2 linked regions of the Nothobranchius furzeri genome follow. The protein of the gene in region 1 purifies or fractionates together with the protein of each later gene. This does not show direct contact. Links are inferred from orthologs where the notes say so. Each region holds a gene or a part of one and is shown in the gene's direction. Other genes may lie near its edges. The genes, in order: haus5 and haus2.

Region 1 (15,984 bases):
AACCTCTGGTTTGTAGTGCTATAGCGGGGTTTAGGACTCTGACTCAACATAACCATTGTGGTTAACGCTTACATAGACCCATTTGTATTTCACATGCTCAAATCTGGACAATGTGTAGCTCAGATGGACAAACTATTATTATTTTCAGTGGGAGAAATTGAAGGTGTGGTATGAGTGTGTGTGTAGACAGTAAAATGTGTGTGTCTAAAACACATTTCATGTTTGGACTGAGAAATTCAAATTCAGAGGATTAGTTGACAAATTTTCTTCTGAGGATTAATCAGATTTCTATTATTATGGTTTAATCCATCTGTCGCCGATTTAGTTTAAAAGTCTATCCAAGAAACCACACAGATATGTATCTGTGCTGTGTGGTCATTACCAAGACAAGAGTCATACTGGACAAAAAAGTGTTAAATAAAATTCTGTTTATAGTAGGCAAGTATTCTGTATTTCAGACTCTTAGTCCAATTCACAGAAGTAGAGAAAACATACAGGAAAGATCAAATGAAATAAAATAAGCACAATATGACACAAAGAATCATGAGAAACAGAAGAGACAATAATAAGAGCAGTGTGAATATAAAGTATAAATTATAGTAACTCCCTAATCTACCAGTGTTTCCACATCTTTGACTGGTAGCGTATTGCACTGACAGATATTGGTTAGATCAAAGATCACAAAACAATCATATATTTAGAATTGTTCAGTCAACAAATATATTTATAAACAAAATTTATTTAAAAAAATTATAAACGTTTGTCTTAAAAAAGAAAACTGAGTAATTTGATAAATAACATTTCTTAAGACAGTTTGTAGGGTGCTCACCCTTGCCTCACTAGAAAAATCATTTTCTACTTTTTGCAGTTATAATCATTATTTTCATGATTAAATTCAAGCTGGAGACGTTATTTATTTTATTTTTTCTAGCTGGAGACGTACGGTTATATAAACTGCTCGTGACGTAGCCTGCCTGTTTCCGTCTTTAATTTCCGTCACCGTCTGTATCCATGGCAACGACCAGAAGCGAACAGAGGCGGTGTCGGCGCTATCACAACGGAAATCACACTGGAAGTACTATTGGCAAGCGGGAACTTGAAAGTACAAAAATTTGAAAATCAGGGATGTTGTTATATGTGTCAGTGGTTATTATTACCTGTTTGATTTTAGCGCGTCGAAGTGGAGATGAACGAGGCAGATTTTTACGACCGTAAATCGTAAAACGAAGTAGAAATCTCAGTAAGCTAGCTGACAACACTAGAGCTAACCTTTAGCTGTTTCTCATCAGAATGGCGGATAGAAACCTTGTGAAAGAACTGAAACGCTGGGCTACGGAGGAGTTTAACCTGCCCCCGGACACCCTACCTAATGACAGCTATTTAAAAACGTGGGTAAAGAAAACATCGGAATAAAAATGTTTTTTCGGGTCTGAAGTAACACCGTTCATTTTCCCAGACTCTGTGTTGGAACTGGGAAGTCCATATGGAAGTACATAATCCAACATGTTTTCCATCAAAGGTCAGTGTTAGTTTTCTTGTTCTGTTATAAGGAACTAACTGTTACTAAAGTTATCAGTGCTTTAAATATCGTTGCGTTGTTTTAAGCTCGTGTGATAAATAAATGTGTTTTAAACGTTTTCAACTTCTTGCATTTTTGCAGAAACGTGAAAATCATGCGAGGTAATCTTCAGTGGTATCCTTTTTGGCTTGAATTTTACTAAAAATAAAATCTTGTTTCATTTTGATTTTTTTTCCAATGTTATCTTACAGAATTAAGTTGTCTTTCATAAACAAGCTCACACCTAACAGTCCTTCACCTTATGATCATGGTTATAATCCACATTACATTTGCTCTCATATAAATGTGTACTTAATTTGTGAAATTGCCTTGACTTTATGATCTCAAAGGTACAAAGTAATACAGGACAAAGAGGTAGGGTAACGCATGTTTATTTCTACATATATGGGTCTGTTATAACCACAGATAATTTTCAGTATGTTGGGTGGTGTGTCTGCATGTCAAGCTGGTTCAGACTAAAGGCCAGAGTGAAGCTGCAAAGCGTAAAGAGCTGCAGATGAAGATTGAGCAGCTGAAATGTGAGATTAGTCACCTGGATTCTCAGATCAGTGGAACAGAAGAACAACTCGCCGCACAAGGTTAGTTCATCTCAAGCTGTGTGCTTGTAAGTTCAGATCTAGTTGTTTCTCAAACACAGAATACATTGATTACTAAAAGGCTAAAATTGTTTTACATTATTTTCTGTTCTGTGACCAAATTGTATGCTAAAATAACTTCACTACACAATTCGTTCCATCTTGAAATCTGATGCAAAAATGTTGTTTGTTGCATTGAAATAATTGAAGCAATTTTTTAAGTTTTTTTTTTCTCATGTCAAATTTGTCAACCATCCCTATTACACAGAACAATCTGTTGGTCAAACCTGGGCCCAGATGGAGGACAGCCAAAGCAGAGAGCTGTTTCTGCAGGCCTTCAGACGGCACTGCACCTTGAACCGTAACCTGCTCTCAGATGATGTGCAAAAAATCAGCAGCCACTGCCAAGTGCTGGAGCAGATGGAGCAGTAAGGCAGAAAAATTCACTTAAACATTAAACTGGCCATGAAAGCAGATATTTTAAGCATCTACTACAAGTTACACAGCAAGTGATTGTATATAAATAATTTAAAGAGTGTGCTTATGTTGTAGGAGTGTAGAAACTGAGGTTCTGTTTGACGATGCTCCATCCAGCAGCAGAGCTGATGACGACTTCAACTCCCAGACTGTAGCAGTGGCACAAGTCCTGGTGAGAGCTGCTGAAGTGGTGGTGAATCTAACCACCCTCTCTTGTTAGAGCTCTTATTAGGCTGCCAACATCAATAAAATTAACTTGCTTGTTTAATTTTTTTCTACAATTTAATAATTTTTCAGTAAAATAGAGTACTGAGAATATTTGCATGAAAAATATTTATATTCTCCAACAGCGTGACTTAAAGGAGCTGAGCGAAGACAGGGTCAATTTCTATCAGTCCTTACAAGAGAGCGAACTGAAAACTCAGCCCTCTGCAACAAAAAAGTAAAGATAGTCTATTTTACACTGTTTAAGACATTTTATTAATTTTAATTTATGCATTCTTAACTTTTCTGTTGTTTTCTACACTGTGTCACCCCCTAACAGCATGACTCATGAGCAGAGGATGGCTGTGTTTCAGTACTGGCTGAGTACCGCTGAGGTTGGTTGATTTTATTGAGATCTTGCTGTGAAAGTCATTGTTTTGGTGTTGGATTTTCATATAAATGTTTAATTCTGTTCCTTGTGACATCAGAAAGTGTTGAGCAATTATCCTCCGAGCCACATTCTGTCAGCGCTGCAACATTTGGCTGCAAGAGAGCAGAGGGAACTACAGGAGAGAGTAACAACTCTGGACGTGACAAAAGATGCTGCAGCACTGCAGTATGTAAAACTCCACATCACTGACATTATCTACATGCATGTTGCTTTTTAATCAGATTTCATGAGCTATTTTTTTTTTCAGATTCCGATATGAAAGCAATCACCTTCTGGATATCTCGGCAGAGGAGGGCAATGAGTTACCACCTGTCAAGACCCTCCTAGAGGTGCTACGCCTTCATTTACCCGTTAAAATATCTGATGTTCACATTAAAAGAAAAATATGCATGTTTTTCTTTATTATATGTGAGTGCTACGCTTTTATTTATGTCAATTTTATATATATATAAATATATATATTTGTTGTTTCAGGCTGTTTGGGATGAGGTACAGCAGAGTTTGGTGGAGCTGTCTCAGACTCGTTCCAGAGTCCTGCAGCTCAAAGATCTATTGCAGGACCGTAAGAAGGAGGCTGAGGAAGAGACGTCTGGGATTTTTAATGATGTCCACAATGAAACCATGGCACTGTAAATTTACAAGCACTGCAGCTGTTTAAAGACCAAGTTCACTGAGAAACTGATTTTTACTTGTATTTTTTTTTATATCTGATCGGTCACTCGTAGTTCAACATGCAGGCTAAATGTGAAAAAAGTCTTCTGCCCCTATTAGTTGCCAAAAGAAAATAGATGGAGAAACGCTCTGATTAGAAAATTCAGTCAGACCTTGGCTCACACACGGTAGGAAAGAGCGGAGGGCATCTCTGCTAGTAGAAGCTATTTGTTAGCATTAGCAACTCCACAACATGACTGAACTTCAGGCTTGCAGAGCAAACGGAGTCAGTGGTAGAGTTGCAATGCTGTTAACCAATCATAGGTAAGATGTCCAAATAACAGGAAATAAGAGTGTAAAGCCTGCTCACCTCTGCTCTCACTCACTTCTAGTTTCTGAAACAGGAGTGCCACAGGTTTTTCCCACAGAGATGGACTTACAAGGCATTCATTTATACTAGAGACCACAGCAAATGTGTTGAAAAAGGAAGGAACTTGAATGAAAAAATGCACACACTATGTGTTAACAGGTCAGCATTTGAGGTGGAACTGCAGTGTGTGATGAAGGCAGCAGCTCGGGATCATATCAGAGATCACTGCATCCAACTCGACCAACATGCCAGAAACCGTCAGGAGGCACTCAGAAATCTTTGCAGCCAGTGGCAAAACATTCAGGATTTCAGAGAACTGGTGGTAAGAAGAAACATGGCTTCTGTTCACTTTTGCTGTTAAAAGCTGTAATCCTGAATAAAAGTGCCTGCACATGGTGGATGCAACATTTTTGCATATTTAATGTTCTTTTAAGAATTTGGATGTCTGGGTATGTATAAAAATAAACATGTTTATTTACTAAACTGTGATTTTGTTGGGCAGAACTGTTTAAAAGTAACAAAGAAAACAAACGTGCTGCACCTGTTTCTCTGCAGGCTCTCAGGCAGGAGCAATTAAGAGGGCTTATTAAAGGGAACTCGTCAACCAAGACACAACTGACATGTCTTCATAAAGAGGTCTGAATATAAAAAGCAGAACAAGCACATTTTTGCTGCATTTCTTGTTTCAATACAGTTTTAATCTATTTGTTTTATTTCAGTTGCAAGAGTTCATTGAGATCAAACTCAAGCCACAGTTTGAAGATGTGATCATAGCTGCCAGCTCGCTACGGAACTCCATTTCTAAGGAGGTCATACAGTTTGGGAACGTTTCACTCCTGTCTCTGGACCGCAGGACTGTGGAAGGGTGAGAACCGGTTTCATGAATCTTGACATCTGAAAGACTATTGCAAGTTTGATAAGTCACCAATAAAGCTTAATAACACGAGTTCTTGATCAAATCGCTCCTGATATCTATTAAAGTTGCTGTCCGGAGTTTTCCCCTTTCAGGAATTATGTAGGATTTTTCAGAAATCCTTAAATTGATTGTCTTATGTACTCTGATATAATATAGGAAATGCGTTTTTTTTTTTTTTTTTGCTAAGCCCGCTCCCTGTCTCGTAGAGCTCAATGCAATATGACCTGAGTGCCATTCAGCACTAACCAATAGCGTTAGATTACTGCTTACGTACAGATGTTAATCACAGAGCGTGCTTGAGCATTTAAGGACCTCGGTTGATGCAGAGTTGGCGATCTTTCTTATGGACAAATAAGTCTTTATAATATAAAAATGAAAAGACAACGTAATAACTGTAAAACGGTGTGTTTTGTCGGCTAGAGGAGCGCGTTCATAAACGAGAGGCGTTACTTTTGGCCGTAGATAAGGAAATGAAACAGGGTTTTGGCGTGATACGCCTGTCAGCCACTAATGGTGCCATCCGATAAATGAAGTAATCCGGAAAGCAACTTTAAATGCATTTTACAAAAATCCTTTATAATCTAAAATTAGAATTACACAATAATGTTGCTCGCTTTTCTTTCACAGGTTTGAGTTTTATTATTATTAAAGCGGTACAGCACAACAGTTATCTGAAAATGTTCACGTTAATTCAGTAGCAGACCTGTAACTGAGTTGCACTTAGTCATTTTTTGTTTTCAAGTGGCAACTTCTGAAAAGAAAAAACATCTTTCTTTCAGAATGCAAAGACTTCCAGTGTCCTCGTTGTCCATTTACCGCTTGCAGTCCTCAAGCTTCAGCAACTTGTGTCAGACCCTGAAATTCCCTCGTTACAAGGTGAGGACTGACATTTAAAATGCTTCTGTTTACTATCAAAATGTAGGGATGGGGAATAAAACAATAAAATGTCACTTTATTGTCTTTATGGCAACGTACATTTTAGAGTACAAACTACTCTTCATGCAACTAGAACAATTAACATGACTAAACATGACATAATGGAAGTATACCCACCTAAAAGGGTTTAAAGTGAATATTTATTTTTTATACCTTAACAAAAATGTTATTTTTTTTGTAACTCTGCTGTTTTGCCAGCAGTTTTCTTGACTTTCTTTAAATGTCCTTTTTAAGGCATGTCGATTTCCCTCAGCAGCACTTGAATGTAAAGCTGTGCTTTAAAGACTGTGTTTACTTATTTGTTAATAAAGTTAGTAGTTTGTTAAATGGTTGCTGGCAGATCGACATTTTTGGTTCACGGTCTGCATCCTTAACCTTTACACAGTGGAAGTTATTTTAGGGAAGTCAGCAGGGCTGATGGTACGGGTAGAGTTTTGTGGCTTGTTTGTCTAAAATGCAGAAGTTAATATAAGTCCATTTTTGTCAAAATTTCTTCTGGGTGAACATTTAACCTTGTTTACATTTCAGAATAAAGGGAGTTTTCATTCAGTGGTGAGGAGGCAGATATGTAATTAATACAACTGTCCTTTCTAGTCTGTAAATTAGGCTGTTTGAAATCATAAATGGTACTTTTCTTTAATGTTGTGTTTGTATGATTCTTTTGTTTAATTTAATTTCTGCCAGATATGTTTGTGTTGATACTAAATCTTTAGAAAGCTTGAAAAAAAATCACAATTTTTATTTGATTTTTGCTTTTATTGTGAAGCCCTAATAAGCAGGTTCCACTGTACTGTGTCTTTGGATTAACCGCTACATCACCCATGGAGATACTCGTGGTTACCTGCAGTCTTGCCACTCCGAATGCTCTTTAAGTCAATCGCTAACTGCAAATGTGCTTTTAACATGCTCAGAGTAATGTTCATGAGGCATAATAGCTGCACAACCTGCAGGCTGACTTTTATAATTCCTTGATAAGTACAGTTTTGATTAATCTCACCCCCTACTCTTTCAGGCACCAGAGGAGTTGTGTTCCCAGTTGCGATCCCAACAGCTTGAAATGTGTTTTCTCCACGAGCTACTGAAACTTTACTCCTTCACGCTGCAGAAAGTACAGAAAGAAGCAGAACAGCTGCATGCGCCTGATCAAAAAGGTATCTGAGGGAAGGTCAAAATAGAAAAAGTTCTTGTTTTCTTTAAAAAAGCACCCAGAAGTGTAAATTTTGCTTGTTTGCACACATGTGGTGTTAAAAATAAATGTGCATGCATAAATGTGTAACGGTTTTAGTAAAAAGTTATTTTCTATCTGATTTCTAGCTCTGCTGTCCAGAGTCACTGAGGAGGATCAGAAGCTTCTGAAGGATTTGCTACCAAGAGCCAGAGGCCTCACCCATCACTGTGCACAGGGCCTTTTTTATGGAGCACAAGTCAAAACTGCCATCTCTGACTGGTGAGAGACAATTCTGACAGGAAAATAGTTGTACTTTATTGTTTTCTTTAGAAATTGCAACAAAGTAAAATGTCAACACTGCAGTTTTGTAATGTTGTGATTTCTTACACATATGGCAATAAAACCCTTCTGATTCTGATTAGATGTGTTCTTTAAAAAATACCTGTTAGACAAATTTGCTATGTTGTAAAGCACATTAAGTAGTGTGCTGCTTACCTAAACCTGATCTGGTAGTGAAAATGAAAGTGGTACGTTATCAGCCAGGCTACATTTCAAAGATAACTGTTAAGTTTGTTTTTTCCTATAACTTCTTCCTGCAGCTACTTTCACATATTAGCTGCAGTATGAGGTGTGCATGAAAGGTATGCATACCACAGCATGACACAAAGGATGAGGTGTTTACACAGAAAAAGTAGTTATACAGGTAAAGCTGTCATTAGCAAGCCTAGTCTATTTTACGTTGATGTTGTTATTCTTAAAATTTTCAGGGTTATTTTGTATTTACTGTTTATGTTTTTGTTTGTTTGTGTAGGTGGGACAAACCAGCCCAGCATGCCCTACCTGATGTCGTTAAAGGAGGGCTGACTTTCCAACAGTGGCTTCAGAGGTGGAGAATAGCTACCAAAGCCTGCTAGTTGACACCTCCACATTTCTACACCTCTTGCTTTAGGAACCTTTAAGAAACAGATTACTATACTGTTAGTTAACTAGTGCACATGTGTAAGCTAATGTGTGTGTGTTGTACTCTTGTTGGAACTCGTTTTATCATGTAAAATGCAGTCATCAATAAATTTTACTCATTTGTTTTTGTCTTAGCTTAATTGCCTCGCTCAGTTACCCGCAATTCATTCGTGTAGAACTATTTACTCCTGCACAGAAAACATGCTGGATGTGGTCACGTGGTGTTACAATAAAGCCGTGCATCGATAGCTCGATCATTTTCTGTACGGTTACAGTTCCGAGGGTTTTAGTTGAACCTACAGTGCGCGTGTGTCATTTAGCGCGGAGCTACATTGTTCTTTGTAGCAGTGAAGGGGGAGTGGAGCAATCTGATTCTTGTGAACTCGGCTCCTCCCACTGCTGCGGCTGCGCACTTCAATTTTTCACTCATTTTTTTTCTTCTTATTTTTCACTCCTACTCTGGCTTCCGGACGCCAAGACAGACCACTGCCGCCGAATTTAAAGAGACAGGCGATAGTTCTTTTAAAAAACGTTAAACGACAACCATTGTGTTCGAGCTTATTTCCCTACCGTTCGTGCTTCCGTCTGCTGAGTTCGCTGGTGATGTTCGGTCGCACTCTCGGCGAGTAGCAGCTTGTCAGTCATCACCCTCCACTCTGCCCGGGGTTCCCTGTTCTTTTCGCCTCTGTGTTGAGACTGTCCAGCCAGGCAAAGTAGGGTTGCTCGCTTGCTGGCAGGCAGGCTGGCTTCCCGACCGAGAGAGCAACGTTTGTCGCCTAGCCAACAACTGGAGGTAACATCGAAGCTTCCCTCGTAAGTTGTGGTAGCGGCTCTCGAGCCCCCTGCCGCCGGGATAATGGCGAAGATTCAGGCGCACAGCGCCGCGAAGCAAATAAACCAAATTCAAGACAAGCCTTACGTTATAACACAAAAGCAAGTGCAGCAGCAGCACTTCCAGAAGCTGAAGGTAAGAGGACAACGGACACGACAAGCGAAAAGTCTCAGTCACAACCATTTTGTTCGTCGGCTCATTTCAACGCATTAGATTTCTCCCCGCTCGAGAGTAGTGAAAGAAACGGCTGGCTAGCGATAGTTGGCTTAACTGGACAAATAAAAGTATTTCACACCTGAATTGTTCGACACTGACATGTAAGGTTAGACGTGGAAGCTGTTTTCCATTAATGAGTGTGCGAGTGACAGTCGAGTGACTCGGTTTGTAGTACTTTTCTTTTTTTTTTCATTTGCGCCATCAATGGTAGCTGCTGTGAGCAAACATAAAACGGCAGACCTCGGTTGTGGGAAGTTCCTCCTTGTTGGATTTTTTTCAGTCAGCTTGAACAAAGTGGGGGACATCAGCCAGGCCAACCAACAACGGCTACTTCAGTTGATTAGCAGCTTCATTTTACGTGTCTTTGTTGTCGCAGTGTGTTTTTAACCTGTCGTTTAGCTTTTGCCGATACGACACATTTGGCCGGGGACCAGCTGCGACTAAACGTATTGTGTAAAAATTGTATGCGGGTGGGTGTTAAGAGTGTTGGGGAGTATTCAGTTGACTGGCTGTGTTGGCTAATGTTAGCTACAACAACCCTCTTCAGATGTAGTCTGTTGGTGACAGTGCTTTGTGTGAACAGTTTTTTTTCCTCTCTCTTCGCTGTCTAAACTAGCTCGTTTGGTTTAGAGAGCTCCAGAGCAATCAACCAAAGCTGCAGAGGTTATTTATATTTAAATCTTTATCGTATGTAATTAAGCGAACACGTGCAGCTTGATCTGCAAATTGTTTTTTGATTAAAAAATATATTATTTACCATGATAGTGGATATTTACATTGTATAATTATAAGAGCCACGTTGTAAGTACTGTGGTGTAAGCAGGGAGCTGTCTCATCCAACGTCCGTCAAATTCATCTTCAACCATCAACAAGATGTAATCTGTTTGAGACTAATTATCCTTTTCTCTCTCTTTTTTTCTGTAATCAGGTTGAAGATGCCTTGTCGTATCTGGATCAAGTCAAAATTCGTTTTGCAAATGACCCAGGAATATACAACAAGTTTCTCGACATCATGAAAGAGTTCAAGTCTCAGAGGTATCTGTGATTATGTCTAAGCAGACTAAACGTTTGTATTAGTCACTCTTGATCAAAGCTGTTCAGAGTTGGACAATGTTCTTGATCTCAAACGTTTTCTTTGTTTTGACTAGAGGTCAACCGATATTGGTTTTTCTAATGCCAATGTCAGTGGCTGATGTGTATTGCAGATTTTTTTGGGCTGCTTTTCATGGCCAATATCCAGACATTTTCCACCTTTTCATGCTAGAATTTCACCATCGATTGATGCACAAAGTTCCTGAATCTGTTTTTGAACTCTTAATTTAACTAATTGTTAAATCTTTGTGTATTGCTCAGTGTTAAAGTCAGACACATAAAGTTAATTTGGAGTGTTTATTATGCAGATGTTATTACTGAATGTAAAAATACATTTAAATTTAATTCTGCAACCACACCGGGCTGCCCAAGGATGAGCCTGACTTTAAATCTGCTTTATTTAGGACAAATATCAGATGATGCCAACGTATAAAAAACAGTAAACGTTAATCTACCCCAAGTTTTGACACAGAAATAATGAACACCACTTTTTTGCTGTTCTTTAATCAACAATTCTTAGAGACAGGAATATTGTGACAAACTGACCACCACTGCAAAAAAAAAAAAAAAAAAAAAAAAACGCTAGTATAGTTTAAAACAAAAAGGTGGGAACAGATTTATAGTACAGTAGTAAAATTAAGTCCGTGAGCTCATTACTTGTCTAATTTTTTCCCTACCTTAACCATATTTCGAAATCACCAGTCTGTGCCTCTGTGTGGTGCTGGGTGGCACACACAACAGCTGTTCATAAATGCTATTTGTTTTCAAATTTGCCAGCTGGCATTTATAAACGTCTGCTAGTTTGGAAAATGATGGTCACAAATGCTGACTGCTGTTTCAGATGTCATTTAAGAAAACATTTAGAAGAAAAAATAAATGAACCACAGTGGCAAAAAGGAAACAATCATATTTTTTACTCCTTTGGTTCTTGGTAAAGGTTCAAAATAGGTCAGAAACTCAAACTAATTATCTGTTATATTATTGACAGACATGCGATATGTCATATAAGCAATTTGGTTCCCAGGAGATGCACAAGTGAAAATGACCCAGAGACATGCTTCTTTACATTACCCAACAATATATACCCAAATATTGGCGCAGTGGTTAGCACTGTTGCCTCGCAGCACGAAGGTCGCAGGTTCAAAACTCAGCTGCGGCCTTTCTGCGTGGAGTTGCGTGTTCTCCCCATGCATGCGTGGGTTTCCTCCGGGTACTCCGGTTTCCCCCACAGATCGCAACATGCCCTATAGGTTATAAATTGTAAGTCGCTTTGGATAAAAGCGTCTGCTAAATTAATAAACATAAACATATATTCCACAAAAGCATCATGATAATGTCTAAAGTCTTGCAACATTTGTACAAACTTCTCACAATCAAGCACTTGTGTCTGGGTCACTTTCATTTTAGAAGATTCTTAGTAGATCACATCGTAGATAAAAGCAGACAAACTTCCTCTTTTAAAAATTTTAATATATTTTTAATTAATTCAGACTGGTGAATCGTTGCTGTAAAACGAATGCTGACGTTGCCTTCACAACTCCCTGTTGTTGTCCTGTGAAAAAGGCAAATACTTTGAGCACACTCTTTGAACCACTTGATTACAGTTGTAGGTACGCCTGACTCGAAAGGAAAACCCTTTTATACAAGAATGACCTAATGACCTTGATAGAAGAATTTACTATATGTCGGTTGTGCAAAAGAGCTTTGAAGTGAGTGTTATTGCTTTGAAACTTAATATTTTAGAGCTTGTGTTCTAGATACCATCCTACTGGGTGGACAAGGTTAATTTTTAGTTATTTATCTGTGCTTTACTTTAAACTGTATATTTTTTTTAATAGCATTGACACACCAGGGGTTATAAACCGTGTGTCTCAACTCTTTCATGGACACCCTGACCTGGTCTTGGGCTTCAATGCCTTCCTGCCACCCGGTTATCGGATAGAGGTCCCAAAGAATGGGATGGCCTTCCTTCAGTCTCCGTTCTCCACACAAGTAAGAAAACCCTTTTCCTCTTCATGCTCCTCTTAGATTCAAAAAAGCGATTTTTTTATTTAATCATTTTCATCAGTCCATCAAAACCAATTCCTATCTTGGTGAGAGCTACTTGGTGTCACAGAACTTTTACATTCTTCAAAAGAACCTCTTGTGTTTGCGCCGCTCCAAATTTGATTCCAGTTGTCCGACTCAGGAAATGAGCTGAATTTTTTTTTTTAACAAAACACAGGAGTGAATTTGCCAGTTATGTGTTTAAAAGATATTCACAACTGAAGTTTAAATGTTTGCTGTATTTATTTTGCACAAACAAATATTTCCAAAGTGTGTTCCACTTAGCCGAATATTGCATTTGTGTGTGTTTCTGTTTGACATGATCTTTTGTCCTCTGCAACTTCAGTAGTATATTCATGACGTATTTTTCTGAGATGAAATATAACAGTGATTTAAAATAAAATGCAGTAATAACAAAAACAAATTACATTGAACCTAAAATTCAACGGATTTTTAAAGTTTGTAGGGAAATCACCATCAGTCTCTGGTTAGATGACCCGAGGCTCCAAAATGAGAAGTAGCTTCTGCTTTAGCAACTCCACCCAGACTGTTTTAATTCATGTTATGATGACGATGATGATGATGATGATGACATATACGTGTTGTTTATTTAGTTGAGCTTATTTGATCATCAGCATGAAAAGAAATGGATCACTTTGAATCTTTCTGGCATTATGGGGAGTTAGCATTTTCTATTTTGAAAAACAACCCCAAACCTGGAGCTAGATCCTTTCACTGGATAGTCTCTTTGCCAAGGATGAACACAATGCTGAGAGGCAGAAGGTTACTTGAGAATTAGTCATTTTCATTAAGGATACATTGTTACAGTTTCCATTGAGAGTGACGGAAATGTTTTTGACAAAACTCTTTTTCTATCTTCTGTGTCCATCTATTCAGGTGTCCCCAGGACAGCAGGGCAAGAGCCTGACTCCTTCAGTTGCAGCAACCTCCAGTACTGCTTCTGTTGTCCATGCTGAAGCTGGACCGGCCCAGACCAGTGAAGTCAAGGCAGCCTCATCAGATTCTATATCTTCAACTCCAACTGGACCTCCAGAACCCCCCAGCAGACTTTCTCTTCCCCTGACGAGCAGAGAGAGCCAGAATCAGGCCACCTCCTCATCCGTTTCTCCACCTGCTTCAGAGACGAGTCCTGTTGAGTTTGACAGTGCCATCAGCTACGTAAACAAGATTAAAAACCGTTTCCTCGACCACCCAGAGATTTATAGGTCTTTCCTCGAAATACTTCATACATACCAGGTACTGAAGAAACGATGTGGCAACATTTGATTTTGTAACTATTTGGGGATTATGTAGTTATTCATTGGCATCTTTTGTAATGGCTAATTTCATCTTAGTGGTTTTTACTGTGGTTCTAGTGTTAGTAAAATATATTGAAGCACTTTTATTCCAGGAAAGAATTGGTTTACTATTGCCTGCTTTGTGTTTTATTTACAATCATTTTTAAACAACATAAGTCATAGCTGGAGTCAAAGTTTGACAACAGTGTGTTAATTTCATTGTTTTGATGTTCTTATCTTATACACAGAGTAGCAAAGTTTTCCTTTTTACCTTATTTTGCCGAACAGAAAAACAATGTAACTAGAAAAAAACCCACCAAGGACATAACAAGGAGTGTTCATGTATTTAGGCTAATATTGTGTATGATTACTCAAACCAATACACTTATTTACCTTTATTAGTGAATAAAACCTGAACTTTACGGGCGATGGTGGCACAGGAGTTAAGTGTTCGCCCCGTAATCGGAAGGTTGCAATCTCTTGCTGTTGAGTCCTTGGGCAAGACACTTAACCCACCTTGCCCGCTTGTGTTCGGAGGGACCGGTGGTGCCTGTGTACGGCAGACTCGCCTCTGTCAGTGTGCCCCAGGGCAGCTGTGGCTACAATGTAGCTCATCACCATCAGGGTGTGAATTGGTGAATGACTGACTGTGTTGTAAAGCACCTTGGGGGGGAGGGTCCCAGGAATCTAGAAGGTGCTATATCAAATACAAGGCAAGGCAGCTTTATTTATACAGCACATTTCAAACACAGAGGCAATTCAATGTGCTTTACAATTAATAAAATACAGGCCATTTACTTTACAAATAAAAACAACCACACCCCTCCTGTGACTTCAGAAAGAGCAGCTTGAGGTGAAGGAGAGTCGAAGCAGTCGAGGCAGCAGTGGGATGACCGAGGATGAGGTCTTTTCCAAAGTTGCCAGTCTCTTCAAGGGACAAGAGGACCTACTTGCTGAGTTTGGACAGTTCCTGCCTGATGCCAAGAGGTCACTGGTAAGTTTAGGACATAAAATAATAAAATTAATAACTTTTGGCATATGTTGAAAAATCAGTTAGTCTATATTGGTGTAAAAGCTTTCATCAAACCTGGTTTTCACATTAAAATTATGTTTAAATACTATGTTGATTACTGTTCTTTCAAATGTTAAAAACAGTCTTCTGTTGGGCTTATTGAATGCAAAGGTTTGTTTATTTTTAGAAAGATTAAGTAAGAGTTTTCTTTTTAATTCATAACAGAACATCAGAAATCCTGACACTCTACTTTCCTGTGTTTGGACCAAATGCCCAAAGAAAATGTGTTTAAAATCGTAACTATTGTCCATGTTTCATTAAGAACACTGTTCTATCTTTGCTGATGTTTATTTTTCCTTTCTTCTAGTTCACAGGGAGTTCGCTGACTGGAGGGAAAGAGCAAGTGAAAAAATCAGAGGACGAGGACATGATTAACAAACAGAACAAAAAAAGGCCCAGGCCAACACTCATGCACATGTCCCCACTGCTAAAGGTACATTTGTACTTTCCTTGTGTCGATACAGTTAAAGTACACAACATTAGATGCTGAGAATAATACATTGTGTTTAGTCATGACTGAAGGCACATTTCTTATTTTTGATGTGGGATTCAGTAGATTGATCAACACCCCTGTAACTTACCTGCTGTAGACAGCAGTCAAACGTGGGACAAGCAGATAGAAGTTCTCCTCAAAAAGTCAAGCCAACAGCTTGTTCTAAAGCCGACTTCTGACTTTTTAAACAACTTAAATCACAAGTCCTCCAGTAAAAATAATGGCTTCAAATGTTGCTGGAAAACCTCCATTAACATTTGAAATCACTCATGTTTACCAACACACTATTATTTTTTCCAGCTTTATGCTGATATCAGGCTGGTTTTCCTCTTTCACATTGTGATTTAGCCACATTTGTAATGAAATACTGGAATCATATACGTGAAAATCAATTATATATAAAAAATGTGTGTGTATATATATATATATATATATATATATATATATATATATAAATATAAAGCTATAGAGATGTGCGTAGGTATATTCATGTGTGTATGTATATGTAGTGGATACGTGTGTATGTCTATATGGATATGTATGGATGAAATATGTGCGAGCATATGGGCATGCAATGCACTTTAATGTATATATGTATATAAATGTGCAAAAATTCTTTTGCTTTTTGAATTTGTATCATTACTACTA
Region 2 (17,584 bases), on another chromosome or scaffold:
TTTATTGAATTTGAAAGACTATTTATAAATAGGCACAAAAAGAAACGTAATAATTTTTAAATGTGATAAACAGCACACAATCAACAATTTGTTGTTTTCCTTCGACTGCACAGTGTAGTAGTGTAAATCTGAATTAGCTAGTTTTCCACTTTTGTTTTGAAAGCAACTCCAGGCCAAATACCGTAATGCTGCATGTTCTAACGCACATCAAAATCTGTTAAAGCGGTCTTGTCAGCCTGTTGCACAGCTCCTTCCCCTGATAAACTTATAAAATTCAGCATTTTATTAATTTTACTTTGTTTCTTGCATTTGTGTATTGTTGGTCGGATCTTTGCTCAAATATTTAGCACACGTATTCAAACTTTTTAGAAACTTTTCCTCAAAATAACAAAAGGAAAAAACATTGTGCATTAAAGCTGGGGTGAAAGGAAATATGAAATGTACAGATTTTCCTTCCTACCTTCTTAATTTATCATTTATTGCAGGATGTGAACCAGTCTTGTTTTTTATAAACTTTCTTGAACTCTTAAATCAGGATAAATTTATTTCTGCATTCAGCCCTGTGTAGGATCTTGACGTGCTGCAGAACATCACATGTGTGCCATACAAAATTGAACTAGCCTTTTTCCTGTCCTTTTGGACTGAAGAGAATTTCCTGCTTGGAATCTGGGAAAGGATAAATAGGGATCCTCCATAGTGATGGGTTAACTATTTACAACTAAAATCCGTCAAAGCATGTAATTTATGGAAGAGGGGATTTGCATGCCAGAGACCAGGACTTTTCCCCGTTCTGTCATTTCTAAATCTGCAAAATAGAGGGCCATACAAAATTGAACTAGCCTTTTTCCTGTCCTTTTGGACTGAAGAGAATTTCCTGCTTGGAATCTGGGAAAGGATAAATAGGGATCCTCCATAGTGATGGGTTAACTATTTACAACTAAAATCCGTCAAAGCATGTAATTTATGGAAGAGGGGATTTGCATGCCAGAGACCAGGACTTTTCCCCGTTCTGTCATTTCTAAATCTGCAAAATAGAGGTAATCAGAGTTCAGTGTCTCTGAGAAGTTCATGAGTGTTTCTACATGCTGTTTTATAGGTGACCAGCAGAACCCCAAGAAGTAGAAATGATACCACATCAGCAAAACATTACAGAAATGTTCTCAGTCATGAGTGTAGGCTGACAAAAGAAGAGCTCCTCAGGGATGTGTGTTCAGTCCCTCACGCTGATGAAAAAACTAGATCACCAAATTGAACACAAATCAGCCCTTCAGGTTTTTTTTTTTTTTTTTACAGAGATGAGTATTTATAGCAGCAAGAGAACAGTATGTTAGCTAGTATGGAGACAACAGTCCATTCTTTAAAGTGATAGGTCAAGTGGTTTCCTATAGAAAAGATATGAACAATAACCTATATAGCTATTTTTATGACTTTTGTTTGGAGAAAGAGATACCAGTACTGACTGGATTGATGAGCTAATGAATAGCTGTAGAAGGACCAAGACCAAAGTTGGTTCCTTGCTAATTAAAATGTCTCTAATCTTACAGCAGTGAAACCTTTCTTTAACCATACATTTGGACATAAGGAGGTTTCTTGCATAGAACTCTGTTAGCAGTGGAGCTAGCTAACTCTGATCAGACCATTTTTCTTGTGAGTAGAAACAACACGAAGAGGCTGCATCAGAGTACATTTGGTTTACTGGAAGATTTTATGAGAGTTTATTTTGATTGATCCATAAATATTATTCAGCACCGTGATGTTATTAATCCACATTCCATTATTTATCCATGGTTTGTTATCCATACATTTCAGACTCCTTGGACTATTACTCAGTGAACAATAACGGAATTGTATAGCTCCAGTGCTCAAATAAAGGATGTTTAATTTACATCAGTTTATTTAAAAGATGTAAATACTGTTATACCAACCTAAGGATCATGTAGTTATGACTCATCAAAAGTGAACAAGACACTATGGCACCAGGTCTGTAAGTTCCTGGTGTTGAGCTTTACCAGGTTTACTTGAACCCACCAGACCTGGAGCCCAGTGGACCACCTGAACCCAAAACATGTTCAACAATCTCAAATAGAAACAACAAACTGGCTTTCTGACACAAGCTTTATTTAAACGCAGGAGGAAAGATTCAAGACCACAAAAATCCACCAATAAGAAGAGTTCCTTCATTCCACCAGCCAATCTAAAGCTCCAAACACAGAACGAGTCAGACTGGTTAGCAGAAATCTTACTAATATTGCCAGAAAAAAAGTCTTCAGCCATTCCTCAGGTTCAAATCCCAGTTTCAGATTTTAAAGGAGTTTTAATAAATAATAAATCTACAAAAAAATAAAACTATGTGAATAATAAATGTCATGTTTAGTGTGTTAGCAGGAACAGGAACAATCAGTCTGGCATGAAGCTTTAATGTTTCACAATAAAAGGGTTAAAACACCTGGACAGCAGACACAGGTAGGTCCAGGTGAATCGGGTCAGAACCGACTGAAGACATTAAATTCTAAAAAGATCAAATCAATGACATCATTGACAGCAGTGCGTTACAGTTAGAATGCCACGGTTGGTCATGATGATCAAGAACAGCCTGGACAAGCAGAAGCTGGAGGTCAGGTTCCTCAGACTCAACTTGCAGCTCTGAGAAGGTAAAACATTGAAACAGAAGCAATGTTGTGAAAAAGGAAACATCTCCAAACCCGCAGATGTTCCCTTCCTTCATTTGTGAGCATGATGAACTAATGATTAGACGCGTCAGGATCAAGGTCCAGCACCAGCTCTGTGAGGGTGAAAACCCAAGCACCAGAACCGAGTCCCGACACGAACCAGAAGAACTCGGCCTTTCATACAGGAACCCTGATGTGTTTGATGTTAGGACAATAGACTGAGAATGTGAACTCTGAGACCAGCTCCTCTGACGGTTTACTCCTCCTGCCGTTACAGCAATCTCCTGGTTAGGGGTTGGATCGTGGACAAGTTGTGGGTTAAGTTAACAACAATCATCTGAAGCAGAAGAAGAGAATGTTCTGGCTGCAGGCCTCTGAGAGATCCTCATTCTGGATCAGGTTTCTTCTGTAACATCTGGAGGTGGTCCATGACCTCCACCTTACCTGCTGGTGGTAGAAGTTGATGTCCATCGTGAAGAATGAAGCTTTAAAGCTTTACATCTGAAAATAAAATACTTCTACTATTGTAGCAGTTTGTGTGTTAGGACCCATCTGGCAGCAGGGTTAGGTCTTTTTGAGGACCACGTCACCTCCTCAGGTTTGGTTTAGCTCCTGGAGAATAAGCAGCTGTGGGGGGTGCAGGGGCAGCTTGGGCCAAAGCTGAGACGACTCTGTACCTAGTGGAGGTCCAGGTTTTACCATCATCAGAGCTTCAGGCAAACTTCTTCTTAGTGGCTGTGAAGCGCTCCATGTACTGGAGAGAGAACAGAGACCATAAAAGACCATTAGAGAGATCAATAAAGATCATCATACACCATTAGAGACCAGCAGATACCAGTAAAGACCAGTAAAGAGTAGTAGAGACAAGTAGAGACGATTAGAGGCCAAAAGAGACCAGTAGAGACTAGCAGAGACCAGTAGAGACTAGCCAAGACCAGTAGATACTAATAGAGACCAGTGGATACTAGTAGAAACCAGTGGATACAAGTAGAGACCAGTAGAGACTAGCCAAGACCAGTAGATACTAGTAGAGACCTGTAGAGACCAGCCAAGATGAGTAGATACTAATAGAGACCAGTGGATACTAGAAGAAACCACTGGATACAAGTAGAGACCAGTAGAGACTAGCCAAGACCAGTAGATACTAATGGAGACCAGTGGATACTAGTAGAGACCTGTAGAGACTAGCAGAGACCAGCAGAGATTAGAAGAGACCAGTAGAGATGAGAAGAGACCAGTAGATACTAGTATAGACCAGTAGATACGAGAAGAGACCAGTAGAGATGAGAAGAGACCAGTAGAGATTAGAAGAGACCAGTAGAGATGAGAAGAGACCAGTAGATACTAGTATAGACCAGTTGATACGAGAAGAGACCAGTAGAGGAGACCAGTAGAGATGAGAAGAGACCAGTAGAGACTAGAAGAGACCAGTAGAGATGAGAAGAGACCAGTAGATGCTAGTATAGACCAGTAGAAACTAGAAGAGACCAGTAGAGACTAGAGGAGACCACTAAAGACTAGAAGAGTCCAGTAGAGGAGACCAGTAGAGATGAGAAGAGACCAGTAGAGACAAGAAGAGACCAGTAGAGATGAGAAGAGACCAGTAGATGCTAGTATAGACCAGTAGAAACTAGAAGAGACCAGTAGAGACTAGAGGAGACCAGTAGAGACTAGAGGAGACCACTAAAGACTAGAAGAGTCCAGTAGAGGAGACCAGTAGAGATGAGAAGAGACCAGTAGAGACAAGAAGAGACCAGTAGAGATGAGAAGAGACCAGTAGATGCTAGTATAGACCAGTAGAAACTAGAAGAGACCAGTAGAGATGAGAAGAGACCAGTAGATGCTAGTATAGACCAGTAGAAACTAGAAGAGACCAGTAGATGCTAGTATAGACCAGTAGAGACAAGAAGAGACCAGTAGAGATGAGAAGAGACCAGTAGATGCTAGTATAGACCAGTAGAAACTAGAAGAGACCAGTAGAGACTAGAGGAGACCAGTAGAGACTAGAGGAGACCACTAAAGACTAGAAGAGACCAGTAGAGGAGACCAGTAGAGATGAGAAGAGACCAGTAGAGACAAGAAGAGACCAGTAGAGATGAGAAGAGACCAGTAGATGCTAGTATAGACCAGTAGAAACTAGAAGAGACCAGTAGATGCTAGTATAGACCAGTAGAAACTAGAAGAGACCAGTAGAGACTAGAGGAGACCAGTAGAGACTAGAGGAGACCACTAAAGACTAGAAGAGACCAGTAGAGGAGACCAGTAGAGATGAGAAGAGACCAGTAGAGACAAGAAGAGACCAGTAGAAACTAGAAGAGACCCGTAGAGACTAGAGGAGACCAGTAAAGACTAGAAGAGACCAGTAGACCAGCAAGAATCTCAGACGGGGGTCTAACCTTGTCGTATCCCTCCAGGTCTCGAAGCTTCTTGACTTCAAACAGGTTCCCTTCCACGGAGAACAGGGACACCTGGGATTCGGCCAGGATGGACTGGGGGATGGAGGACAACTCAAGACAGTTTTCCTCCAAACGCAGAACCTTTAGACGGGGACAGTGAGAGACTTCTGCTGACACCACTGAGATCTGTACAGGGATGAGAGAACTGGGTTACCTGATTGAGTTTGAGGAAGGTTCCATTTATTAGGAACCTGGTTCCAGCCTGAGTTCTACAAGAGCAGCTCTGAGGAAACGAGTGAATATTTAGGACAATGAGACCTGGTTCTGGTTCAGGTTGATCTCAATGGCCTGCAGCTCAGCAACCTCTGCAGGGACACTCTGAATCTGGTTCTGGGACAGGTCCAGCAAGTCCAGCTGCCTCAGGGATCCCAGTCCTAAGGGGAACTTGGAGATCTGGTTCCCAGCCAGGGACAGGGTCCGCAGGGCTTTGAGCTGGCCAAGAGAGGGGGGCAGCTGTTGAATCTGATTCCCATTCAGACTCAGGGTCTCAAGCTTCTTCAGCTTCCCAATCTCAGCAGGAAGTTCATCTGTGGACAAAAGAACCACCACTTCAAACATCCAAAGTCAGACATTCATCCAGGATCCAAGATTCAGGACTAACGGAGTCTGTTGTTGTTCAGGGTCAAACTCCTGAGCAGCAGGAAGTTCCCGATTGATGCAGGAAGACTTTCGATCTTATTCCCTGACAGATCTACGGTCCTCAGGTTAGCAGTGAGTCTCTGGAGCTCTTCTGGGAACTGAAACCAGACAGAGACACCTAGCAGTAAGACAAGTTCTGGTACCATGAGAGAGAAACATCAAAGCTCCAACGGAACTCCTCTCACCTCCTGGAGACCTTTACCCATTAGCTGAAACACCCCCGTCTTCTGGGAGGTTTCCAGGTGAGACTTCAGCACACTGTTCCCCATCCTGACCTATCCTCCACCAGAACACCTGAGCCTAGTCTAGACCAGAGGGGTGGAGCTCATATCCAGAGAGTCAATCAGCTGACAATCTCTTCTTCCTCAGGGGAGTTAATGAGATCAGCTGGAGAAAATCCTGCTAGAACACAATCCACAAACATTATCAGACCTTCTGTATACATGTATATATATGAGAGAGAGAGAGAGAGAGAGAGAGAGAGAGAGAGAGAGAGAGAGAGAGAGAGAGAGAGAGAGAGAGAGAGGAGAGAGAGATCTGTCAGGCTTTTCTGAAGTGTTTTTCTGTCCATTTTCTATCAGAAGCTATGCAAGAGATGGGTGTAGGAGACTATTTCCTCGTTCAGCGTACATGCTAAACTCAGAGTGCCTAATCATTTTAAAAAAAATAATAAGAAAAAAAAAGGTTTGTCAATGAAGCTGCTCTTTACAGTGTGTGGGAATGGATCAACTTTATGAAACACTACAGGCTCAGCAGTTAGATCACACACACAAAACAGCATTACAAACGTCATACAAAACAAGAGTCATGGACTTCCACCAGCCCCAGAGTGCATTAAACTTCGGTTATGATGATTCGAGACACAAACTGACAATCTGACACCTTCATAACAAATGTGTAAAAGATTTAATTCAGATATTAGTCCAAAGAGCTGACCTCCTACAGGGTTTTGGACTCAATTTAATCTTGTGTTGTCTTTAAGGATGTAGGGTCAGAACGTCCTTAGTTGCTTCTGACCTTCAGTTTTATGTTTAGGTGTAAATAAAACAAGCTCCAGCAAAATAAAAACTCAAGCATGCGTTCTAAAAAAGCTGCACAACATTAGAAACACATGCTGCTGCATATCATGTTGAGAACCTCAGATGTGATCAATGAGGCTGATCCTTGTGTTATTGTGTTGTTAAAAACACTCCACCACGTTCTGCAGCATCTCCACCAGCATCATCTGATCTGGGAGTGGGTGTGTTTATCAGATTCCACCTTAAAGACCACTGATGTAGAGCTGACACAGCAGACTTCAGTTGTTTTTGATGCTGGTGGGTTTGTGATCTTAATGCAGCTTCATTATGGATTCTATCTGAGTTTCAACAGAGAAAGAGTAGGAAACACTGGCCGGATTCAGATGTTTACATAAAATATACAAAATGTTACGAATTTCCATCTAAGGATCGGTGTTCCCACCACACAAGCTACAAAAGTAAATGATTTGAAAAGACAACAAACCAGTGAAATGTGTGATCTTTACAAATGCTGCAAAAATAATAAAGAGAACAACATCAGTGGCCATTCATTCTATTGGGTGACCTATTACTATTTTTAGTTTTACTATTTGCCTTTGATCATTTGACAAATATGGTTGTTGTTTATCTGTTTAGTTGGACCAGATGATCCAGCTTTAGTTGTTTCTCACCTGGAGAAGACTAATAAAGACGTTTCGTGTTTAAAACGTTTCCAGTCAAAGACAAACAAAGTTATGACTGGATCTGAAGGACAGGACAGGATTATGGTTAGGGGCGTAAAGCTAAAGGCTAAAAGCTCACATTAGTATGTTATTTACCAGGAAACGAAAAATCGGAAATAAACAAACTACTTCATGAAGAATAAATAAATATTTTAATGGCCACTGATCAGTCGACAACCAAATCGAAGTCACAGACCCAAACAGCTCTGCAGCATCGGGTTCTGAAAGAGGCGTTAGCATGACATGCTATATCGGTTTGTTGAGTTCTTACCTCCGATCCGAATCTTTAGTTGTGAGTCAATAAATTCTGACTTTATGTGTGAAGAAAAGTTCGACTAAACAAAATAACAAAACAAAATATAATATAAACAAATAAGTAACTTGTCAAAAGTCCTTTGATGAAAGTTGGCATCAGCAGGTCCGATTATGTCCCTGTCCTCCAGCCCTGTAGGAGGCGCCAAAGGCTTAGAAAGAGTCTGGGAGGCGCTAACGCGGAACAGTAAGCGGAAGTGACGATCCTGGCGGGTATCTGATGGTTTTTAGTCGCTCTGAACCGCAAATAACTCATAATTATCGACTGTGAAATGGGAATGGTGTTTAGGATCGACGAGTAACGGATTAACACAAACAGGATCTGGAGTTTACGGACTGTTCGGCTAACGAGTGTAGGTCAGAATTTTGGTTACGGATTTGGATTAATGTTTGTTTAAACATTAATCCAAGCGTTTTGTTTACTGTTGTGGTCTGCAGCCCCATACCAGTGCTAGCTAGATTTATTCTGAAAAACGTGCAGGCCGCCGGAAACGACTAAATATTCAGACAGAAAATTAAACCAGATGAAACCTACTCTGCATTTTCTACGTCAGACTGCATTTTACCGCTGCAGAAGTCTCTTAGGACTTACTCAGGGTTACAGATGGTCTGTTTAATCTGATTATTCAGTTTTATTTTCCAGATGTGGGAGCCATCGCTGTTCTCCGTCACTCCAGCTGCCAGCTTGCTGTCCAGATGTGTCTCAGTAGGAGCTGTGTCTCAGGTCAGGACTCCACAGGCAGCTAATCCAGTCACACCACCCTGAGGGTTTGAAGGAGATGCTGTTCTGAACGCATTTTAGGGAGATGGTCCATGCATCCTGTTCTTGTCTCATATTTGGCTCAACTTGTGTCCTTGTTGCCTCGATCATCACTAGTGACCCAATCTAAGGATAGATAATCGACACCTTTCTAAAAAACAAAATAAACTTTGAGATTTGCAGAAAGAAATATGACACATCTTGCAGATGAGGAGGCTGGCGGCTCAGCCGATGAGATGGTAAAAACATTTACAGACTTGTAGACCCTTCTGATCACACTCACTCAAAAACAACCTGCCCCCACCACCGTCTCTGACCAATACGTTCTTGTGAATGTCTTCAAATTACTAATTGGTGCATTAATTGTCTTGCATACAACAGCACATCCAGTCCTAATCGGACCAACAGCTATTTATTGTCGCGGTGCAGAATCAAGCCGTTGTAAACCGGGCCAGGGGTGCACATGCCGGGTTTCTGGCAGTGGGAATTAGCTGAGTAGTGGGCTGACATTTGTTTGATATGATGAAGATCGTGTGTCATTTCCTGCAAAAAGCTCCTATCTACGTGTTTCTGAATCGGTCAAACACAAACAGAAAATAAACAGACTGCCGGTCTCAGCAGAGTCAGGCCTCTGCCATGTTGCTCCACCGTGGGTCGGGTCACAAAACATTTAGGACCTCCAAATCAACTCCAAACATCTGCTTTTATCACAGTTGCTGTTTTTCAGCAAAGTGAAGAATCAAAACCTGTCCATTATATGGAAAATAGTTGTTTGTCACGTTAATCTTATTATATTTTCACTAGTTAAGCTGATTTTGGTCAGGTCCTGAACCGGTACGACCCAGGTACTGACCTGGGTCCAGTCTGGAGATGATTTTATGCGTGGATGTGTTTTCAGGATGAAATCGACGCTGCCTTCTCCAGCCCAAACCCTGTGTTCTCCACGCGCCTGCAGGAGACAGAAGAGATGATCAGGAACCAGAAACAGCTGGATGAGGTGAGCTACAGATGTTGTCATTCAACAGTCGGAAACAACAGCATACACTGTTTGGTAAGGAGGAGATGGGTTTACCTCCCGTAAAGCTTTTAGTTCTGCTGCCACGTGCAGAACGAACACATCTCTGCAGCCGTTATCCCTGGAATCTGATACTTTTCTCTGAAATAAAACTTCACTTCAGCTCATTTTAAATTGTCATGCAGCTCAGTGGAGGATGAGAAGAGCTATTGAATTAGTTGATGTCAAGACCCGTGCTGCGCAGTGGTGCAGTGGTTAGAGCTATTGCCTTGCAGCGAGAAGGTTCTGGGTTCGCTTCCCGGCCTGGGATCTTTCTGCATGGAGTTTGCATGTTCTCCCTGTGCATGCGTGGGTTCTCTCCGGGTACTCCGGCTTCCTCCCACAGTCCAAAAACATGACTGTTAGGTTAACTGGTCTGTCTAAAATGTCCTTAGGTGTGAGTGAGTGTGTGCATGATTGTTCGTCCTGTGTGTCTCTGTGTTGCCCTGCGATGGACTGGCTCTCTGTCCAGGGTGTACCCCACCTAGTTGCCCATTAACCGCTGGAGATAGGCACCAGCAGCCCCCCCCCCCCCCCCCCGCGACCCTACATGGACAAGCGGGTTCATAAAATGGATGGATGGATGGATGTCAAGACCCAGAGCTTCATGACAGGTCTGGTCCAGGATCAAAGGTTTCCTGTAAAAACCTGACCATTTTTGTTGGTTCTGATTCAGTTGCAGCTGGAGTTGGAGCTGCTGAAGATGGAAGAACGGAGCGCTGATGTCTCTCATGATTTCCATCTTGGTGAGTTTAAACCTCAACTGGCTTTCTCCCATTCTCAGTAGAACAGAATAGACTTAATTAATCCCACCGCAGGGAAATTCACTCGTTGCTGCAGCACATACTTTACACGTGGAGAAAAGGAAGAAAAGAAATTATGTTGTTTTTTCTTTTTGAAGGTAATTAGAATCTGTTTGGTTTATTTAGCAGCGATCTCAACACAAGTCAGTTCTGAATGCAAAAGTAAAAATAGTCAATTCAATCATTCTAAATGTTAAAGTGAAAGAAGACAGCAGATCGCATCAAATTTTGTTTTAGATTTATTCTAGTGACTTGATGGGTAAAACTCCTTGGGGCATTGTTAAACCTTGAGTGAGACACACACACACACATAGTATTTTCTGTCTGTATGGTGGAGAGATAAATGAAATAACAGGAAGGAAGTCAGAAAAGCTGTTTGTGACTTTATTTAACCTTTGAGACATCTATAACAACAACAACAACGCTTTAGTTAAACAACTGATGAGTTTCTGTCCTCCCTGTGGAGACGACCAGAAACATCCATAACCACCTTTACTTTCATTGCTGATAAACATTTGGTTAAAAAAAAGTTATTCCATCAAACATGAAGAAACGAGTGGGCGGTTGTATTTGGGTCAGCAGCTTGTCTGATTCCAGATCAGAAGAACAAGAGGCTGCAGCTGTTCGCTTGTCATCTCCTTGATCTGCTGAGGGAGCAAAGGACTCTGAGACAGAGACTGATGCGACCGCTGGCTCGGACCAACCTGCCTGTCCCGGCCCACATGCAGAGGTCAGAATGGTTCCACAACAGCTTGACCTGAGACCAGTCTCTGAGGCGTTGTTGACATGAAGTTGTCTGGTTTGGGTTACAGTTTTATGGTGAGATCCGTGGAGCTGATGATGGACTTCGTGGCGTGTCTGGAGGAGAAGCTGAGGTCAGCCCAGATCCAGACCACCACCGCCGACAGCCTCACCCTGCTGGTCAGTTACATAAGCAGACTTTTCTCAGATTACCTGAATAACAGGTACATTAAATGTGAGGGCCTTTGTTCTGAATTTGTTGCTGTTCAAAAGGGGTGCCACAGGGCTCAGTATTGAGACCCATCCTAGTTATTTTGTACATCAGTGTCCGGGTTCAAGATGTTTCTGATACTAATATGCACTTCTATGCTGATGATGGTTATTTACATTTTTGGACTATCACTTTCTCAGGTCATAGAAACCCTGCAGAAAACTCACTTCAGTTAAAACTAGTCCTCAGTGGGGACGAGGCTAAGCTAATATTCTTTTCTAACAAGAGCGTTACTCCAGTAGGGACCACTCTTGATAAAGGTGGTTCATGAATACAAGTACCTTGGAACTGATGACTCCCTCACTTTTAAAGCACACGCAGGAAAACTTGTGAAGAAATTTAAACTTAAGTTAGGCTTTTCCTTCCATGATGTTTTTTTTTTGTTTTTATTTTGGAGTAAAAAAAAAGCCTTGACACGGCAACTTTTTTTTCTGTGCCAGATTATCGTGGTCCTTTTTCATGTGAATCGGTGGCGGCTGGTGAATTTATTTTTTGGTAGGGCTCAAATTAACAAGTGGTGTGCCAAAAAGAGCATGCCAGCTGAGATTTGCATGACTTGTTATGGGAAGGTGCATATAAATAATGAGATTTTTTTAATAAATATGTTTATGTTTATGTATTTAGCGGACACATTTTTCCAAAGCGGCTTACAAGTTATAATCGGCATGTTGCCCTTGAGGCTAACAACAACAATAACAACAACAAACAATTTCCAGTCAGTCGTAGGTGGCAGTGAGGCAGCATGATGAATCATGGAGAGGAGGGAACAAGGAGTGGACAGTAGAGAGTTTTTAACATGCTTCTTATCCATTTGCTTCCTTACACAATGATGCTCTATGGGCAGATAAATTAAAAAAATGACAGTTTATTTGAAAAAAATTTTTTTATTTGTCTTTTTGAATCACATTCCTGTTTCTTTAAACCAACTGCAAAATTCAGGCAGGCAGAAAAAATTATATGAAAATACACACTAAACATTAGTCTCTAATGTGTTTAAATAAAACGTGTCAAAAACGTAAATGTTCATTATTACATCATATTTCTAGTCAAAAACAAAATGTTTTCAGGAGACACATTGATTAGAAAAGTGTTAACATTATGAATGTATTAAAAATCGCCTCATCGCTCATAATTCTAATAGTTAAGTCTGAAATTTGTGTTTGGGATGACTGGGCTGCTTTTAGATGTGCTTTCCACATTTCACCACCAGGGAACGCCAAATCACCATTCTTATGTCACACCGACAGTCCAGTATCAGCAAACTTGTTCCAAAAAAACATGCTCAATATTTATCAATATATGCAAATTCAGCAAAGCTAAAAGCATCAGTTCAGTCTTTCCTTTGCTGGTTTAAGGTAATAATCAGAGTTCTAGTAAAAATAATCCACTTTTTTACATGCAGGAGAGAGTTCAAAAGTCTCTGATGCCACATTCCATCATTTTCTGGTTCTTCATAATAACAAAACTCCTTGAGGTGGTCTCAGCTGCTCTACAACAGCACAGGACGGTGAACTGTGGAGAATTTCCAGTTCTGTCCTGACCTGAGCCGAGACTCTTGTCTTCAAATGTTGGACTCAGTTTATGATGCTTCTTTAAAGTGTATCACTGACTAGAGAACGGTGACACGTGACGCATCACTGGGGTTGGTACTCATGAGTGGAATGGTTGTCATTGGCCTCTGGAAGGCAGGGACTACGATGTACAGGTGAAACTTAAATAATTAGAATATGGTGCAAAAGTATATTTGTGTCAGTGTTTAATCTTAGACTGAGAGACCATCTAAAGGCTCAGGAACCCTCTGTGTTCTTGATTCGTCAGCTGCAATTAGAGTGTGCCACTTGGAACATTTTCATAATTTTCTATTTGAGATTTTGAATGTTTTCATAAGCTGTGAGCCGCAATCGTCACTACTCTAAAGGCTTCAAATATCAGACCATCTCATATGTTAGTTTAATGTTTTAAGTGAAATTACTGACATAAATGAACTTTTGCACCATATTCTGGTTGATTTAGTTTCACCTGTATTTATTTACAAGGCTAGGCTTGGGTTACTGCCTCCTTACATGTGCATTTTCATCACACTCCGACTCCTGAAGATCTAGTGATCAGCTGTTGCTCTCTGTCCCTTTTGTCTGCACGGTTTGAGAAGAAACTTTCTCGGGCCATTAAAACCCTGCAGAAAGCTTTTGTTAATATCCAGTATTCACTTCTCATGCACCCCTCTTTGCTTGGAACTATCTGCAGAACGACTGGAAATGTATTGACTTATTCACAAATCTGAAAGACATCCTCAAAACTTTATATTTTTTACAATCTGTGTTAAAGTTTTAATAAAAAATAAAGTCATTTAAAGGCAAAAAGTCACCATTAGTCTGGCAGAAGCAGCTTTAATCACTTGTTTTCATTTAATTAAAAGATAACTTAATGTTTTACATCCGTTCCTGTCCAGGTAAGTTCCAGTTTGAGGTCATTGACTAAATCTTTCTAATGCTGATCCGAGTCCAGTACTGCCACCTGTATAGGAAAGCTTGTGATGCCTTTAATCACTGCAGGTAATTTAGAGCATTCTAAGGGGTTTTGGTGTATTTTAAGTTAACCTTATTTGCATACAGCTGTTTTTGATCTCCTCTCTTCTTAATTGATCTCTCTCTGCATCAGGAAACGTCACACTCCCTTATGTTGACCTTAGCAGCAGACGTGGAGGCTGCGTTTATGCAGATTCTGCAGAAGAGGAAGAGTAGCAGCCAGCAGGAGGCGTCAGAGGCTCATCAGCGCTCCCTTTACACAACTTGCTGTGATGTCACCAAGTTGCACAAATATTAGATTGCACTTTTTTAAGGAATGTAATAAAATGTGTTGTTCATGTGGAGGCTTCCTGATATATATATTTTTTGTTATGCCTTCAGCATTTTGTCTCAAAGGCACCAGGTCCAGGAGGGTAACCCAGACCATCCTCTTCTCAGCATTCATGTATACCTGTAGATTTTATCGGGTTGGTTCTGGGGCAGAATTGGGTCTGAGGTTAGAGGTTTTATAATCTGGAAGAAGAAACCTGATCAAGCTTTTTGGTTTGAGATTATTAGGTTGTTTTTGCTCAACCTGAATTATAATCCAGTGTTTACAGAAATATTAATCTACATGGATCAGTTGAACGGTTGTAAACACTCAGGAACAGGAAGTCTTGAACCCTGTATTAACTGACTAGAAGAACATTTCAGATCTTTTAGTGTTTCTAAGAACAGGAAACAGATTAGTTCTGACTGGACAGATGAGCTGTGGTCTTCTTCCAACGTGTTTCTGCCTTCTTAAAACCACTCTTAGACATTTCAAATGTAATGGGAGATATTTTATAAAAATGTACATAACCATAAAGTAGATGTTACATATTGTTTCACAGAGAATTCTGAGATTATGTTTTCCCTGAATACAGTAAAGGAATGGGACATATTTATGAAATAACTTCTGTGGAGTTCTTGGTGTTAAAATTGTTTTAGGCCTTTTGTAAGTAGCCTGGCCTGCCAAACTCGTCATCTGTTTAATTCTGCACAGAGAAAGAGTCCGGTAACTCGCAGGCAGAGAGCAAAGGCACTTGAGGGCGGGACTAGGCAGCTCAAAAGTGACCAATCAGAAAAAAGATGAAAATGCAGTTTTCTAGCTGTAGTAAAAAATAAAAAAAAGGCATCTGGCAACGGTGTAAACATCTTTTATTTTTTTTTGTAGAAGAAATGCTTTTCGCGCTTCTACTTGTGGTTTTAAAGACATTTGAGTCATTTAGAACAGAGGAAAGAGCCACCGCGAACTCCGCCGCTGTCTTCGTTGTTTATGAGAAACTGAGCGTTGCTGTGTGTGTGTGATGTCCATGACGCTGTAATCAAAAATGGAGTCTGGCGACAGCGCAAACATCTTCCTTTAGAAACAAGGCTTTTCGCGCTTCTACTTGTTTTAAAGACGTGTCCAAGTCATTTAGACCAGAGGAAATAGACGCAGCAAACTCCGCTTCAGTCGCCATGTTCGACAAACTCGGCGTTATGGTGTGTGACGAACGCTACTCGGCTCTGATTGGTTCGGTTACAATTCTCACAGGGTGGGGTTATTTGAATAGAGTTCCCAGACCCTTTCTCTGTGTGTGGAGCAGAGTCAGGTAGCTGCATGTCTGGGACAGAAAATGGGACATGAGAGACTTCTGAAGTGTTGAATAAACTCACAACAAAGAATCACAGATGTTAATATTTCTCACTCTAGATTCTCCGGGTCAAAAGTTCTGAATTACTTATTGAATAAAAATAATTCAAACGGTTTCTAAAAGTACATAAAATGAGCTTTCCAACGAGGTACATGATGTAATTCATGTTACTCCAAAAATCGCTATCAGAAGGAAACCAGCTTTGCAGCGTCACAGAAAGAAACGGAGCGAACCGCGACGGGAGAGCAGAGAACCAAAGGGAGGAGACAGTCTGATCATCTTCATCAGCAGCTTTTATAAAGTTATGCAAATAAAATCCACCTGGTTGGTCAGGTGTCCCAGAAGGCTGTTTCTGTAGATGGTGACATGAGGAGGGACAGATTACTGTCACACTGGTTTTTATTTGAACACTCAACTGTTTACTAAATGATTCAGCTTCATTCCAGCATTATTTATACGTACAATAAATATTTATTTAGCTGAAAATATAATGTTATCAGTGCAGAATTTTATTAGTTGACTTTTTGTAATGAAATGTTTAGATTTAACCTTTTATCTGCTTATTGATCTTCATAATGCTGGTAGAAATGTAGCTACAGCTGTGAAGTAGCCCATGAGTGTTATTTTATGATACCTAGTATTTATGTTACTGTATCCCGTTCTCTGGACCAGAGTATAGACCTGTGGTCACAGACAGTCATTAAACTGGTAATTGTGAGGTCAGGGGTCACACTTTTTTCTGAGTGTTTGCAACACAGTTCTGAGTTTAAATACCGGTAGTTCTTTTGACATAGTTTGCTCAAGTCATTTTGAAGTTCCTGTTTAGTAATAAATGTAAAGAAAATTCAATTCTGTTTTTTTTTTCATTTAAGCTGCAGTTTTACAGACTTTAATAAACATAAACACTAAATACAAACAGACACTGAAAGCTGAGGTTGTTCTGAAAAAAGGAGCAGAGTTACAAACATTTTACACTTTTTGTTACAATTTTAAAGCCATAAAACAAAATAAACTGTTATATTTATGGTCATAAGAGGGTTAAACATGATAAATTTTCCACCTCCCACAAAGAGATGGTAAAAGTGAATGTGAGCATAAATATATACATTTCATTACTTTATTATGTATTTTTTATTATTGACAATTACTCCAAAGGGTTCAAATAAAGGCAACTGGACTTCTTTGGTTTCTTTAAAACGTTTCACTTCTCCTCTGAGGAGCTTTGTCAGTTCTAACTGGAATATGGGAGAGCCAAGCTTATAAACTGTAGCTGTCCGTTGTTATTTAAAGAGCAGAAACTACTCTGAGTACCCCGCCTCTCCATCTCCTGATGAGTCGTTAGCCTCTATTGATGGTGAGTCATCGTGTTGATTAGATGCAGGAAGGTGTGACCTAGACTGAAATTGAATGAGATCCAAAGCTGCGTACTGGAAAGGTGAAACCTAAGCCCCGCCCCTATTTAAAGTGGGGTTTTCCATGTTTTACATCGATAGCTTCTTTTACTCCTCTCTCAAATCATCTATCTTCTCTGTCCAGAATGTGGACTTTGTCATCTTCAAAGGTGTGTCCCTTGTCCTTCAGGTGAAAGTGGACTGCAGAGCTTTGACCTGAAGAGGTGGCATTTTTTCATTTATCACTCAAATTGTATCCTTCCGTGTGTTCAATAAAGTTTTTAAGTCATGACGTGCTCTGATCACGTGGCACTGTGTTTCCGGTTGAGTAGATTTTTAGATGACGCTTTTCTGGTGGAGTCTGGTTAATCTTTGACACTCGGTAAGACTCCCAAACTTCATATTTATCTGTCTGATTCTCCGTTGCGGTATTTTACAATCCTTATTCATCTAGCCGCTTGAATATTTAAATGTGTTGCTTCAACCATTTCTGTCTAAATTCACGAGTAACGGCTGAATGTCTGCTAGTGCTTGCAGCTAACTGCTAATGTTAGCGCAGCTGTA

What was found.
Region 2: the proteins of haus5 (region 1) and haus2 purify together in Homo sapiens (affinity purification with mass spectrometry; 5 studies listed by BioGRID and IntAct, with this or other methods). This does not show direct contact. The link is inferred for Nothobranchius furzeri from reciprocal best matches to the Homo sapiens genes HAUS5 and HAUS2.

What each region holds. Positions count from the first base shown.
Region 1 is NC_091748.1:57,503,274-57,519,257, reverse strand, and holds haus5 (HAUS augmin-like complex subunit 5), read left to right. Parts: upstream 1-1,014; 5' UTR 1,015-1,102; intron 1,103-1,289; 5' UTR 1,290-1,290; coding exon 1,291-1,388; intron 1,389-1,456; coding exon 1,457-1,519; intron 1,520-1,660; coding exon 1,661-1,693; intron 1,694-1,908; coding exon 1,909-1,933; intron 1,934-2,024; coding exon 2,025-2,157; intron 2,158-2,422; coding exon 2,423-2,582; intron 2,583-2,706; coding exon 2,707-2,803; intron 2,804-2,981; coding exon 2,982-3,073; intron 3,074-3,175; coding exon 3,176-3,230; intron 3,231-3,323; coding exon 3,324-3,451; intron 3,452-3,533; coding exon 3,534-3,615; intron 3,616-3,760; coding exon 3,761-3,915; intron 3,916-4,466; coding exon 4,467-4,629; intron 4,630-4,862; coding exon 4,863-4,943; intron 4,944-5,026; coding exon 5,027-5,172; intron 5,173-6,002; coding exon 6,003-6,099; intron 6,100-7,171; coding exon 7,172-7,310; intron 7,311-7,473; coding exon 7,474-7,606; intron 7,607-8,138; and 3 more. Other genes in the region: paired amphipathic helix protein Sin3b, read left to right, coding at 9,144-9,254, 10,264-10,370, 12,266-12,419, 13,371-13,730, 14,610-14,765, 15,151-15,276.
Region 2 is NC_091758.1:16,492,007-16,509,590, reverse strand, and holds haus2 (HAUS augmin-like complex subunit 2), read left to right. Parts: upstream 1-8,018; 5' UTR 8,019-8,170; exon of another isoform or gene 8,171-8,174; intron 8,175-8,460; coding exon 8,461-8,541; intron 8,542-9,475; coding exon 9,476-9,574; intron 9,575-10,307; coding exon 10,308-10,377; intron 10,378-11,016; coding exon 11,017-11,164; intron 11,165-11,246; coding exon 11,247-11,355; intron 11,356-13,895; exon of another isoform or gene 13,896-13,998; intron 13,999-14,104; coding exon 14,105-14,269; 3' UTR 14,270-14,315; downstream 14,316-17,584. Other genes in the region: lrrc57 (leucine-rich repeat-containing protein 57), read right to left, coding at 3,382-3,423, 5,066-5,251, 5,384-5,652, 5,727-5,862, 5,950-6,033.